Linked DNA regions of Drosophila melanogaster. The protein of the gene in region 1 interacts with the protein of each later gene in a pairwise test. Each region holds a gene or a part of one and is shown in the gene's direction. Other genes may lie near its edges.

The links. Proteins that work in one complex are often made in the same cells at the same time.
Region 2: the proteins of CG31102 (region 1) and CG6337 interact in a two-hybrid assay, tested with the Drosophila melanogaster proteins (one large-scale study listed by BioGRID).

The regions. Positions count from the first base shown.
Region 1 is NT_033777.3:25,290,612-25,298,375, reverse strand, and holds CG31102 (uncharacterized protein), read left to right. Parts: upstream 1-2,781; 5' UTR 2,782-3,074; coding exon 3,075-3,279; intron 3,280-3,540; coding exon 3,541-4,040; intron 4,041-4,104; coding exon 4,105-4,468; intron 4,469-4,524; coding exon 4,525-4,718; 3' UTR 4,719-4,918; downstream 4,919-7,764. Other genes in the region: CG31288 (uncharacterized protein), read left to right, coding at 1-108, 175-383; CG31097 (uncharacterized protein), read left to right, coding at 602-794, 856-1,352, 1,407-1,776, 1,836-2,038; CG31098 (uncharacterized protein), read left to right, coding at 5,506-6,348, 6,412-6,628, 6,687-6,880; CG11893 (uncharacterized protein), read right to left, coding at 7,136-7,320, 7,384-7,764.
Region 2 is NT_033778.4:13,830,761-13,838,044, reverse strand, and holds CG6337 (uncharacterized protein), read left to right. Parts: upstream 1-2,948; 5' UTR 2,949-2,982; coding exon 2,983-3,078; intron 3,079-3,198; coding exon 3,199-4,125; 3' UTR 4,126-4,470; downstream 4,471-7,284. Other genes in the region: CtsL2 (cathepsin L2), read right to left, coding at 1-326; CG6329 (uncharacterized protein), read right to left, coding at 7,026-7,267.

The DNA.
Region 1 (7,764 bases):
ACTGGGAACGTCTGGTCGAGTGCTTGAAGGTTTTGAAGCTGAAAAAGCCCCTGCCAAAACTTCGTGATCTTCAAAACTCCATGAACAATAAGAACCACTCCTTTTATGGTAGGTTTCTAATGCGATAATTTTCGCTATAGATTTCTTTAACATGCAAATGCAATTCTTCTGCAGCTTTCTTCAGCATCCTGAACCACCTGCCCATTATTCTCTTCCCCACCGACAAGGACAGCAACATACACAACTTATCCGCTAATACGGAGGAAGGAGAAAATTATAGACTACGTTTGCTCTCAAATCCCGCCTTTGGAAACGTTATGAAGGATCTGTACCCCTTCTTGTATAACCGTGGAATACTGAACTTTGAGGACTACGATGTCTGATTTATTGCCCGGCAATAAAATAATAGGAAGTACAACGAAATCTCGTTTATCTGGGGGTATCGCATAAGTGTGCACCTTATCAGTATAATATTGCTGGTCATCGAGGTAATCGTCTGTTACCTCAGATAAAAAATTATCTCCGGAGACGATAACTTTTTGTGATAAGTTGAACATAATGTCGTTTCGGATTTAAATCAGTTGTAATCATGTCGCGCTCCATGAATATCGAAAATCCCAACGAAAGTCTCGTTGTTCCCAAATGGTTGAATAAGTCAAAGTTTGAGTCCTTGATCGCAAAGGATGAACCTGATTTCACCAAGATAGACCAGTTTACAACTGTGGCCGCTGTGCCCCCAGGTGGTAATTTTGCATCAGTCATGCTGCGAGTTTACTTGGATATAGTAATGAAAGGTAGGCTGGCTGATAGAGATCCTATTTATAAGAACCGAGTGGTAAATCCAATTTTGCCCAGATGGATCTCAGAAAAGAAAGTCGTATGTGGTCAAGACTATGCTGGAATCTGATAAAGGTGGCAAGGCGGTGAATGAAATGAGGTACTTCCACAAGGAGCAGCAGATGTACTCCACCTATTTGCCGCAGTTTGAGAAAATCTATCGTGTGGCGGGACATCCCGTGCAGCTGATGCCGAAATGCCTGGAAATTGGGGAGATTGATGGAAATATATATTTCATATTTGAGGATCTTTCGACTCGAAATTTCGTGGCAGCAGATCGAACGAAAGGAGTGAATATGGAGCACATGCGACTCTCTCTTCGTAAATTGGCCGAGCTGCATGCCGCCAGTGTGATATACAAAGAAAGGTATGGACCATATCACGCTGACTTTGATAATGGATTCGCCAGAAAGGACAAAATCGAGCATAGTGTGAGAAGATTCGAAGTAAAAGCTCCTGAATACAAGGCAGCCATGAAAACGTGGGGAATAGATGAGTGCTACCTTAAGAATTTCGTAAGTTTCCTAGTGAAATCATGAATAGCACATTAATAATAACTTTAATTACAGCCCACTACTGAGCAGTACGGCAAGCTCTGTTTGGAGTCCCTCAATGTAGATCCCCAGGACTTTAATGTCCTAACACATGGGGACTTTTCTCCCTCCAACATTCTTTTTAAGTACAATGAAAATGGAGCCCCAAGTGAGGCACTTATACTGGACTTTCAAATTTGCAAATGGGCCAGTCCGACACAGGATCTGCTTATGCTGATAATCCTTTCGGCGCGAAAGGATTCGAGCTATAAAGAATTCGATAATATTGTAAGAATCTACTGGGAATATCTCATCGACTTCTTGAGAGTCTTGAAGTACAAGAAGCCGCTTCCGCAACTGAGGGAACTGCAATCTGCTATCTACAAGAAAAACAACACTTTCTCTGGTAACGAACGAATATACATATTTTTTGTCGTATCTTATACTGAAATTCTATATTTTCAGCATTCTTTGCCGTAATGAATCATTTGCCGGGGGATTTGCTGCCAGTTTGCAAGGAAAATAACCTGCACACGTTTAATTTAGAAGACGAGGTGGGCAAAAGTTTCCGTACCAAGGTGTACACCAATCCCATCTTTGTGGAAGTCGTCAAGGAGCTGTATCCCATTTGCTGCAACCGCGGACTCTTCAACTTCGAAGACTACTAGTGATCGCCAATTTATGCATCTGCCAGTGAAGCTTTCATTCGAACCTATTAAGCAAATTGTGTGCGAATATTGATTCTGGATTTTTCAAGTTTTCCACGGCGAATGTCGGGGCCGCAACGTAATCGAAGGTCGGGGACCATGAAATAGTTTTCCAACTAGTACGCCTGTAAATAGAAATATGATTCCAAAAAATGTTATCTTTCAACAATTAACGCATTGCATTACTTGTTTTAGTATATACATATGTATATATGTGCATATTTTACTCTTGAGATAACAAAAATGTTTGTCTACTTATCACGTACTCACCGTATCTACATCAAAATGCTGATAAAAGCTATTAAGCGATAGTCTAGTAAAATAATCTAGTCTTGAAGGGATAATAATTAATTTTTCACAGTAACATCAAAAAAATTATTAATAATATTAAAAATTATTTGCTTACAGCTTTCAAAGCCAAAATCAAAAAATTTTTCCAAAAATACAATACTTTTGGCAGTTTTACCCCACACTCAATTCCCAAATTGTTTAAGTTCAAATTAACATAAATACGTACTCATGGGTGCACCAACATATGTACGTATGTCAGGTTATCAGGTATTCCCATCACCACACTGCTACCGTTGATAAGCCCGGCGCCCAGTGCACCCAGTGTCTGGCTACTGGGAGAATGGGAAAGCTCTGGCAATTATCACCCACTGCCTTCAGAGAGAGTCTTTTGGCCAACGTGCCCGACGGACGATGCTCAGTGTCCGTACTGTTGACGAACCAGTTAGACGGGCAGTTGGCATTGCTTTTGGGGCGTTGATAAGTGCGCACCTCAAGTCACCCACCTCGACGGATGGTTGTTGTTGTTGTGCGTGCAATGAAATAAAAATAACATCGCGGGTCTGAAATAAGAAAAACACTCTCGATAAGGCAAGGCAACGCAAAACAGTTGCGCTGCACACTTCGGACCGGGCACAACGCCAATTCACAGCCAATCCGTTTAGAGCCAATCGCCGCAGTGAGCTCACTCCGGCGGAATCCCAGCGCCATGCCCGATAACAGCAATAAATTTAGCGCCTCCAGCGATGTCCGCATTCCGGCCTGGATCAATGAGGCCTACTTCAAGCGACTGCTCAAGCGGGAGTTTCGGGAGTTCCGGCGCATCCTCAACCTCTCGATCATTCCAGCCACGCCGCCCGGAGAAACCTATACATCGCTGCTGATGCGCATCGTCATCGACATCGAGTTGAAAGGTGAGAAAAAAGGGCGCAGTTCGGTACACAATCGTTAAGAGCCATTACGCATACGCACTGTTGCCATTTTAAAAAAGCAATAAACAATAGCTATTACCTTATATTTTTTTAAATCAGAAAAACCATAGCCAAATTACAAAAATTAATTCCTATTTAGTAATTAAAACAAATTTGATTCAAATCAACTTGAGTGCTTTCTATATATAATACTATTTATATCAAACAATATAACAACTATTCGATTTATCGATCGTTCGATAGATGGATTCTCACAGCAAAAGTCCTACATAGTAAAGACCATGCTGGACGACGCCCAGGGAAATGGTGGATTCGTGAATACCCTCAACATTTTTCCAAAGGAGAAGATGATGTACGAAACGATTATACCTAATTTGGAACAGCTTTACGAAGAAGCTGGGCTGAGTGTAAAGTTTGCACCAAAGTGCCACCATGCGGAGGATATCAAAGGAAGGATCTGCCTGGTTCAGGAGGATTTGCAAACGAAAAAGTACCGAAATATAAATCGCCTCAAGGGCTTCGACATGGCCCACATGCATCGAGTGCTAGAAAAGCTGGCGGAATTCCATGCAGCAGGTGCCGTTTGGCGTCAGCGAAAAGGACCGTTTCCCGATGATTTTCAGAGGATTTACCTACCCGCCAACTATCAGAAATCGAAATCGTATCAGGCGAGGCTCCAGAGCTATAAAACTGCAATAGCCAGTTGGGGTCTGGCCGATCACGAACAGTATGTGAGTCGCATTGTAAGTTAAACAATCTAATAAATATCTTAACATTCAATAACATCGATTTGATGATGTATTCAAGCCCACGGCCGATCAATTTGTGCAATCCTACGCCAGCTGCTTTAACAACAATCCGCAGGAGTTTAAAGTTCTAAATCACGGTGATTTTTGGTCCAGCAACATAATGCTAAGCTATACTCAAACTGGTGATATCAACCAGGTGCGTTTCGTGGACTTCCAACTGTGCAAGTGGGGTAGTCCGGCTCAGGATCTTTGGGAACTCATCATATGTTCGGCACGGCATAGTATACGAATACAATACTTTGACTACTTCATCAGGATATACCACACACACCTAGTGCGCTGCCTAAAGATCCTAAAATACAGCGAACGAATACCAATGCTAAGGGAGCTGCATATGAGCATGATCAAGTATGGATTTTGGGGTAAGAATTTAACTAGACGATCACTATATATAAATGATACAAAACTCTTTTATCAGGCTACTTTACCACCTTCACGCACCTTGTGTTCATTTTGCTGCCACCGGATACGGAAGCTAGCTTGGTGAAGCTTACGCAGCCGGGAGAGGAAGGAGATCGCTTCCGGTCCAAGGTGTACACAAATCCACTCTACGTCCGCTCTGCGCTCAGCATATTCCCCTTTCTACTTCGGCGTGGTATTCTAGACTTTTGAAGCGGTTCAAGTCATTACTGTTAAAACCGAAATTAAGTATATGAATTTGTATTAAAGACTAAAAATGTATACAAGTAGATCGATATATATATATATTTTACATACTTTATCCCGTTTGGACTGTAACTTCTTTTACATCATAATTTAATATGTTTTCAACTATCAAAACAAATATAGTAAACAGCATAGTTTCAGCAGATAAACAAATCTATTTGTTTATTGAAATAATTTTCTGAAGTTGATAACTTGTAGAAAATGTGCTAATGCATTTCTGAAGTTCTGAAGAAAATCCTCTAACTGGCATAGAATATGTATAAATCTATAGAATATAGAATATATACCTATAGAATAAATACATTAGATAAATGCCAAGTCATTAAAGCTTATCACAACAGTTGCCTGTATTCAGATCACATTTTATTTGTTCCCCAAGGAAAACAGTAAAACATCACTAACAAGTACGTTAAATATATATGTATCTCTGTTTTTCCACTTTTATTTGTTGTTATCGGGCACAAGTTCCACACTGCTCAATAAACCGGTTTCATTGCCGCCATAGATTCCACATGTACATATAAATAATATTATATATACATAAATCAGCTGATAAGCCAGCGCAAAGCTAACAACAGAGAGAGCTTTACAGAAGCTCTATCTTTCTCCCAGCCCGTCACATGTTTTGCCCCACATTCTTGATTCGATAGCCCCCAGCGTAAGTTGCTACTCAGCTCTCTGTTATTTTTATTCGGTGCGGTCAGGTGACTTGAGAAAAAAAGAAGAAAATACAATGGGAACCGGCAGCAAGAACTACCAGGCTCCGGAATGGCTCACCGCCGAATTCCTGCAGGATGTGCTGAAGGAACACTTCAAGGAAGAGCAGCTGGCAGTCACCGAGTTGATAGTAAAGAGCGCCCAAGTGGGCGACCAGGCGGCGGGATTTGCCAGCGAAATGCATCGGGCCAGTTTCAATCTTCAGAGGGGCACTGCACCCAAAGGCAAGTTTTCAGTGATTGTGAAGGATCATCCCAAGGGACAAACAGGTGCTGTGGCCCACAGGAGTAAGCTCTTCAAGCGTGAGATTCTGGCTTACAAGGAGGTGCTTCCACGTATTCAAGCCTTGCTCCAATCCATTGGAGATCAAACGAAAATTGCACCTACGTGCTACTACACCACGGAATCGCCGGAGCCATTCCTGATTCTGGAGGACATGCAGCTGTCCGGCTTCGAGAACTTCGAACGCGGTCGACTGCTGAATCTGGACTACGTACTGCCCACCATCGAGAAGGTCGCCAAGCTGCACGCTTGCAGCGCCCTTATCGCCCAGGATAGCCCCGAGGTGCTGGAGTTCTTCGACGAGGCGCCCATTTCGAGGAATCCGGACCGTCGTGACTTCCTCACCTTCTTCCCCGTCAACATTCGCTGCGTGGCCGAGGAAGTGGCTCACTGGAAGGGCTACGAGGAGATCACCGAGAAGATGTTCAACCTGGCCGAGAATGTCCTGCAAAGAGCGCTGACCATGTTTGAGAGCACAGGCAAGGATTTCCGGGTCTTCAACCTCACCGATCTGTGGATCAACAATCTCTTGTTCCACATCAACAACGAGACCAAGGAGCCAGACGATGTGGTCACAGTATGTCATTCATAGACGAGAATCCATTCGAAATCCACGTTAATTTATCTCTTCGTTCACTAGTTGGACTTTCAGTTGGCCTATGTGGGATCCCCAACCATTGATCTCAATTACTTCCTCTACGGATCCTTGAACGAGAATGTTCGTAAGGTCCACTATAAGTACATTGTGAGGGAATACCAGAGAGTGCTTCAGCAGACCCTGGAGAAGCTAAACTACCAGGGACACATTCCAACTCTTAAAGAAATCCACATCGAGTTGATCAAGACCAGTCTTATGGGTATGATCATCATCACCATTTATCTATATTGGTTTTCATAATGACTCCACCATTATAGGTGTCATTGGCGCCACTTGCCTGACTCCACTGATCTTCAGGGAGGGAGCTGGTTTCGAAAACCTTGAGGATCTGAACTCACGCACTGAGAGCGGTGATCGTTTCCGCCGGGAAAATGTTGAAAACCCCAAGTATCGGGCTTTCCTTCAGCGAACTATTAAAGAATTCGAGCTATCTGGATTCTTGGATGAATAGTGACAAAGGGCTAATGAAGATTGCGTTACATTCGATCAAAAGTATTCGGGCTTCCACATACAGTAAGCTTTCCAGACAAATATTCCATGAGTATTTTACACCCAAATTAAAAAAAAAGAAAAATTTAATTTGATGATACGTTTTGTTATTTAATTTAAAGCAAAAGGAAACCCTAAAAAATTACATGGTTCATATAGTTGCGATCAATTAGCCATGCAATATATACACATTTTAACTGATAGCTTTAAAAATAGATCAAAGATCGTTAAAGTATCCCATTTCCTCATATTTACCCAAAAGCTTTTTGACATCTTGAACATAAGGGTCATAGAGGTATGATTTTTGTCTGATTTCCGGATCTTGAATTAACTCGTGTATTTTAAACGTATTCGCTTTAACGGCCACAATCATTGGCGAAAAAGTGGTTAAAAGGAAGAAGTCTGTAAAAATATTGAAGTGGTTAGGCTTATTGAAACTAGGCGATAAATAAAATAGGCACTTACCATAAAACTTGTGTCGGTGTATTTGCTTCCACAGACCATCATTGGTCGGCATCTTGCCCTTGTAGCCAACTTTTTTTAACGTGTCCTCCAAAACCGAAAAATAAAAGTTAATAAGATCCTTTCCGAGATCCCATCGCTGCTCTGGCTCCATGAGCATGTACACAGAATAACTCAAATCGATTGTAATGGGACACAGGTTACAGATTTGGAAATCTACAAACATGACCTCCTCATTTTTATTGAACATCATATTTCGGCCATGAAAATCTCCGTGACACATCACGTAGTATCCATCGGATTGAACGTTCTTGCGATATTCCTGCATTACATCACCCATACGCTGTATGTAGTTCTCTTTTATTTTCTCAAAGTGTGGCTTGT
Region 2 (7,284 bases), on another chromosome or scaffold:
CCAAATTCGGAGATTTTGGAGCCCAGCAAGGTGGCTATCTCCTTTCTGGTCATGTCGGCCAGCGTATTGACGCCCAGCCGGAATCCGGACACGCCGTTGTCGGCGTTCTTATTGCTCAGCGTGATCAGCGACATCTTGGCCGCGAAGATGCTCTCGCGATAGACTCGCTCCTCATCCGAGTACACCTTGCCCGTCTGCCGGAGGAAGTCGTCGAAGTTTTGCACATCGCAGAGCTTGGGAAACGACTGCAGTTGCTGCAATGACACAGCACCCAGCAGGGCCAGTCCCAGCGTCATCTGCAGCCACATCGTTGAGCACATCCGCATCTGGAACGGTGGACAGCAGAGCGAGTGGAAAGCGTTAGGTAACCACTTGGCCAATACATAGTTACACCATCCCATCCCATCTCATCGCATCCCGCGACCCCTTTTCATGCCCCTTTTCTTGCCACATCTATCTGTCAACGTTAATCACTTGGCCGCAACTCGACCCGTTCATTCACCTCCAATCGAACCAACCTGCCGTGCAGATCGTGAAGTTTCCTATAAGTGGAGCCGCTATAAATATTTATTTATGGACATATTAAAAGCAACGTTGCTTCCTAGAAAATCTGCACAATTTGAAAACAGGCCACACTCAAAATCTATGCGTTTATTCGATATTAAAATGTTTATCCAGTAGATACTTTTTATTGGTAAATATTCAGTGGAGTGTCTTCATTGACATAAGAAATGATGTTATGTCTTTTTGAGTAATTTGAGTAAGTACAATGTTTGGCAAAACCAAAATAAAACAAAGAAACTAATAAATTGTTTGTTTAACAAGCTTGGTTTTGAAGAAACTAAACCGTTTAATGATCGCCTATGCAGAAATCAACATTGTTTCTAAGACAATCAAAAACATAATGATCGATTAAACGAATAAAAAACTAATTATTATTGGTTTTTTCTATCACGCTGACTATCCGCTTCTGTCAGCAATCGCGTTAATGGGTAATTAATCATGCGCTGTCTTAATTTCTCAACTTTATTCGATCTTACCAAATTAAATAGACTTTTGAAACTAGCAGAGCATTCGCTGTTCGTATTTCCGGTCTGTTTTACGAATTCGATCACCGATGAGACGTGAATAATTACTGGGTGAATGAGCTAATTTGCATATGCTTAGCATAATTACATTAGTGCAAGCATTCGATTCGGATGAATTTCGAAATGTATGAATGATTTCGCGGCTTCGTCTCTCCTTTTATTTCCTCAGCTCCCAAATTGGCTCCATCGAGGGCCCAAATAAATCAAAATCAAATCTAGATTAGGCAACCGCAGGCTAAGATTTCACTTTCGTTGCCATAAAATACTGATCACATGCTGTGCCCGGTGAAAGGCGATGGATTCCCCTGTTTAAAATCAAATTTCGAGTCGAATGTAAGCAATTGCAGTTCTCTTGTCTTCGACGGACCATTATGAATCGAAAAATAACAACACACACGACACAATATGTTGAAAAGATCGACTTAATCACCTTTTATGGATATCTGGGAATGATATGTTCAAAACACCTTCCGCGTTCACAAATCACAAAACTATTCGAAGATGCTGAAGACTCGAAGACCGGCGAGATTATAAGCGGCGCTCGACCCGCACACCTTGGTTTTATAGAGTCTGGAGCTGGACCGTGGGACATATGGCCAAAACTGGATGGGCCACCAATTTGAAACTTTTGGAATACCGACAAGAGCATATTCATCTTCATTTCGACGGGCTATCTGGTTTATGGGTCTATAGCTGTCTCCATTATATGCATGCTTAGTAATTGTCGATTGCCTAATGTGTTGGTGGCTATAACAACGCATATTAACTCATTTGAAACAAAAGAGAAAATAGTCAAACATGTTTTTAAATAGTTAATAATTGATGAGATCGAAGTCACAGTTGTAGCGCCTATAGGATTACAAATTTCAATGCAGCAAGCAAAGTTTTAGGAAAGTTTTTAAAGCGTCTCTAAGTAGTTTGTACTATTATATCCCTTGTAAATAAATAACACTTTGATTTTTATGTAAATAATACAATTACAGAATGATAAAGATGCAGACGGATGAATAATGGTCTCGACTTTCAATAACTATAAATTGAAATTGAACCATGAAGAGATTGATTAGTGGCCAATTTATTTGCATTTCAATTAACAGATTCGTGGAATCTGAATTTGTTGTTGCGTCTACTAAAAAGTTCATTGACTGCTGAAATCCCTTATGGACTTACCTACATATTTGCAAAATTTCAAGATGATCCCTCATTACTACTTCGAATATATACTACCTGTAGTATATGCTAGACTACCGCAATGGAAATTACCAAACAACTCACTTAGCACTTGGTTTACAGCAATTTGGCCAAGTCTTCCAACGGGCCTATCTATCTATCTGTCTATGTATCTTTCCATCTACGTATCTATCTATCAACGCTGTTGCAACTTTTATGGGCGCCACAAAGTATGACTGTGATTAATCATGCCTGCGCTGAAGACAAAACCTGAAGACTAAACGATAAGTTGGCATTAGAGGGGCGTTTACGATGCTCCATGGGCATATGGGCTTGGGTGTTTTTTTCTGAACTGGGCCAGTGGGGATTTCGAATTAACAGAGATACGAGAACCCACCGCCGAATCGCAACGATACGAAACGGGGCATTTGACAAGTTTATTGGGCAAACAAAGCGCACCCCGACTTTTCCTACCAACGTCGGCTTATCGAGGAGACCCAACCCGGAATATGAATACTACGGATAGTACGTTTGAGTGCTGCTGGCCAAGTGCGAATTCAAGGCCTCGTAGAAATCTACGAGTATTTGCACTTTTCTTGCGAAAGTAAGTCGCTTTGGTAAACTTCTATTTGCGTTTGCAATCAGAAGGAGAGTTTGCCGGTGCCTATAAAAGATCGTTCCATGGTTCTGGCGGCATTAGTTGGTGCGGATTTGGGTTTTCGTCATGTTCAAGTTGCTACTTTGCTGCCTTCTACTAACCATCGACAGTGGATGGGCCTTTAATCATGGCCAGGATCTAGTGGACTTTCAAACTTACGAGGTATGTGAGTCATCAAGAAAACAAAGTCTGGATGGGATTTAATTAGAAATTATATCTTGTATCTTATGGCATTGAAAAGGATTGTATTGAGTAATGGAATTCAAATCTTTCCATTTACAGGACAATTTCAACAAGACCTATGCCTCAACTTCGGCTCGCAACTTCGCCAACTACTACTTCATCTACAACCGCAACCAGGTGGCGCAGCACAATGCCCAGGCCGATAGGAATCGCACCACCTACCGCGAGGCAGTGAATCAGTTCTCGGACATCCGGCTCATCCAGTTCGCAGCCCTGCTGCCCAAAGCCGTGAATACGGTGACCTCGGCGGCCAGTGATCCACCGGCCAGTCAAGCGGCATCTGCCAGCTTTGACATTATCACGGATTTCGGACTCACCGTGGCGGTGGAGGATCAGGGCGTGAACTGCAGCAGTAGTTGGGCCTATGCCACCGCCAAGGCCGTGGAGATCATGAATGCCGTGCAGACAGCCAATCCTCTGCCCTCGTCCTTGTCCGCCCAGCAGCTGCTGGACTGTGCGGGCATGGGCACCGGATGCAGCACCCAGACGCCCCTGGCTGCCCTCAACTATCTCACCCAGCTGACAGATGCGTATCTCTATCCGGAGGTGGACTATCCGAATAACAATAGCCTGAAAACGCCGGGTATGTGCCAGCCCCCATCCTCTGTGTCAGTGGGCGTGAAGTTGGCCGGCTATTCCACGGTGGCCGACAACGATGATGCCGCCGTAATGCGTTACGTATCGAATGGATTCCCCGTCATAGTCGAGTACAATCCGGCTACCTTTGGATTCATGCAGTACTCCAGTGGCGTCTATGTCCAGGAGACGCGTGCCCTGACCAATCCAAAGAGCTCACAGTTCCTGGTGGTCGTGGGCTACGATCACGACGTGGACTCCAATCTGGACTACTGGCGCTGCCTGAACTCCTTCGGCGACACGTGGGGCGAGGAGGGTTACATCAGGATCGTGCGCAGGTCCAATCAGCCCATTGCCAAGAATGCCGTCTTTCCCAGTGCGCTTGCCTAAGAAGGATTCCGATTTGACCTTATTTCAAGTTAATAAACTTAAGTTTTATGTGTAAATTTTTATATGATGATTTTGTTTCGGATTCAGTAGATGCTGTAAGTTCTTTAAAAAAACTTAATGCTAGTAAGCAATACTATTATTATTATTATAGACGCATTATCTTTAAATCAACTAGAATTCGAGTAACAGATTCGGGAATATCTATAATAACACTATGATGATACCTTAAGAGTGTGCCTATCTATATCTATGATAGTTCATAGAATAGAAGAATAGTAATAGAACCATCCAAGAAATAGATTTGGGAATATCTCAAATAAAGCTAAGATAATTCATCGAGATCTTGAATATTACATAAAGAGTAATCTTGAAAAAAAATCCCCCGTCTTCTACCAAAAAGTATCGTTTGGTTTTTTGTTGTGAAAGCTTACAGCTTTTTTGTCTCCATTTATTGAATTTACCATTTTATTTAGTTTATTTATTGATTTTTCATCTACAAGCGGAGCTTTACAGACTTAAATGCTAAAAATTAACAAGTTCACTTTATTTTCTTTTCTTTTCTTGTTTTTCGCATCTTTGATCTGCTTATGGATTTTATACTATTATCTTTGCAGTGTTTTCTTTTTCTGTTATGTTTCTCTTGCATAATAAATAAGTTTCCCATTTTGTTGCTATCCGTGTTGCTGTGATATAAAAACGAAAGGAAATTATATAGATATATATAATATTTAGGTATTATATTTATGGTTATAGAATATTCGACTCAGCCAGCGCAGACAAAAGCTTCTTTTTTTTGGTGTGTGTTCTTTCTGTAGATTTCTTAATCTTAGTTCTCGTAAATTTTTTAAGTTTCAGTAACTTGTTTGGAAACGTTGTTATTATAAATACTTCTCGTTATTATATTTCAATTGCGTTAAATAATTTGAAATATATGTATGTACGTTGTGTTTGCATTTTGTTTTGTTTTAGTTTAGGTTTTTAGTTTTTAGTTTTTATTTTTGGTTTAGAATGTCTTCCCGTCTTCTTGTGAAGCAAAGCTCAATGATATGATTCACGCTGAAAGGTGATTTAACGATTTTTATTATTTCAATAATTTTGCAGTTTATAAAGATTGCGTGATCTTGTGTTTTATTAGGTTTTTCTTTGTTTTTTGTTTTTTGTTCTGGATGTGCTTGAGTTGCAATATTTAGGGTACTTCCTTGGAAAATCGTTGCGGATGAAGAACAAAATCGAAATTATCCATCGTAATCGGTTTAGTTGTGGAACCTTAAGTACTGTGACTAGTTAATGGGGTATTGATTTTAAATTTCCTTCTTTTTCGCCATTTAATTACTCTCTTATTTTTTCACTATTACGATACCAACGGCTAGTGTTTGTTATTATTTTATAAATTAAAATTAGTTAGGTTTATCTACATATGCTCTCGCTTCTCTCTGTATTTATCTTATTATCTTTCCGTATAATTCTTAATAATATTTAACTAAATAAATATAATGTTATATAATTTATGCAATTTCTCATGTATATATATATCTTTGTTTTTTGCTTTTGTTTTCTACACAAAATGATGTGTTTGTAACTGGTTTTTATATGTTGGCTAGTGTTTCTGTTTATTAATATCTTGCAATGTTTTGTGTTGACTGTACCTCGGTTTGTGTTCGAATCGCATTGGGGACACAAATCAAAATGTTTATGGACTTTCCGTCTAAAGTATTAGGAAGATTTATGTATATCAGCCATGCTAGCAGCTCCACTTCCGCCGGAATTTCGCGGAAATCCGTTGAAAATGTATCATAGGGATCTCATGGCTATATAGTATGGTTTAGTTTTCGTGAAGCCTACAATGGACAAACTTTATTATTTCCTTCTCGTATTTAGTATTTGATGGATTCTCCTTTGGTTTCATTTATTTACTCTGTATAAATTTCAATGCTATTCTCTTAATTTTCTCACTACGAAAATTGATTTTCTGCTTCCAAATGAGTTATGAATACCAAATTATTGCAACTTCTTTGCCGTAAAGATTGGTGTTCATCCTTAGAACTTGCACTAATCGGTTTCATAAAGGGTTTGCCTTTGAGGATGCCCTTCCTCATTTATTTTATTGAATTGCAAAAAACAGATCTCAAATTTTGAGACTAGTTCACAGAACAAAAGCTTATAAATCAAATGAAACTATGGATTACCTTCCAAAAAGGTTGTAGATAAAATCCCAACATATAATATGACACCAAATAATAAAATAATCCTGGTTACTGCAAAGTATTTATCGCAAATAGATAGATGTTCGTCTTTAAAATTTGCACTTACAGGTTTCTTGAAGGGCAAGCCTTTAAAGATTCACCCAGTTATAAACTAAAATGGAAATACTTTAAAAAAAAACCAAAGAGGAGAACGCAGTTTTTAGTAAGAAACCCTTTTTCGCTTGATCTCGTGGAAAAAGGCATTCCTACATCGCTGATTTTGAATTATTTTGGGTTACGACTTATGTTGTAGATCAAGGATCTGCATTTCTTACTAAGGACTTTTTTTTAGGGTCGACGGTTGAATTTTTTTTTTTAGGCGGAGACATTTACTGGCAGTTTTTCTGTATTTTAAAATTAATTTCGAACAAAGGCTTAAAAAAGGTTATTATTTTATTACTGCCCCCAAGAGAGTGTGTGTTACCTTTTTCGATTTTATCCTGTTTGATTTATATAATGCATGCGAACGCATAAGGTAAGTTAATTTCCGTATTATTCTTATTCAATTTACGCTTACGAACACATTAAATGATATATTAAAGTAAATTATGCAACTAAATGAGCATCAACTGCAGAACTGAATCGAAAAACCATTGAAAACAAACTCAAAAACGATAAGTACAGTTGAACGCAATGAAACGCTAATTCGAGCCCAATTTACGAGCTCTGGAATCGTATTGTGTGCCTCGAGTTCAGCAGGAGCGCCAATCCGGCGGCCACAATGAGGGGCAGCATCATCCACTGGCCAGCAGGCGAGTTGGCCCCGTTGCACAGATCCTTGGTGCAGGAGCAGTAGATGGCGGCCACGTCGTGGGTTCCCGAGCGTCTCACGCACTTGTTGTCGGTGTTTTCGTCTGGGATGTATCCGCATCCACGCACAATCCGGGTCTTCCCGTAAACTATGAAGCATTAGTTG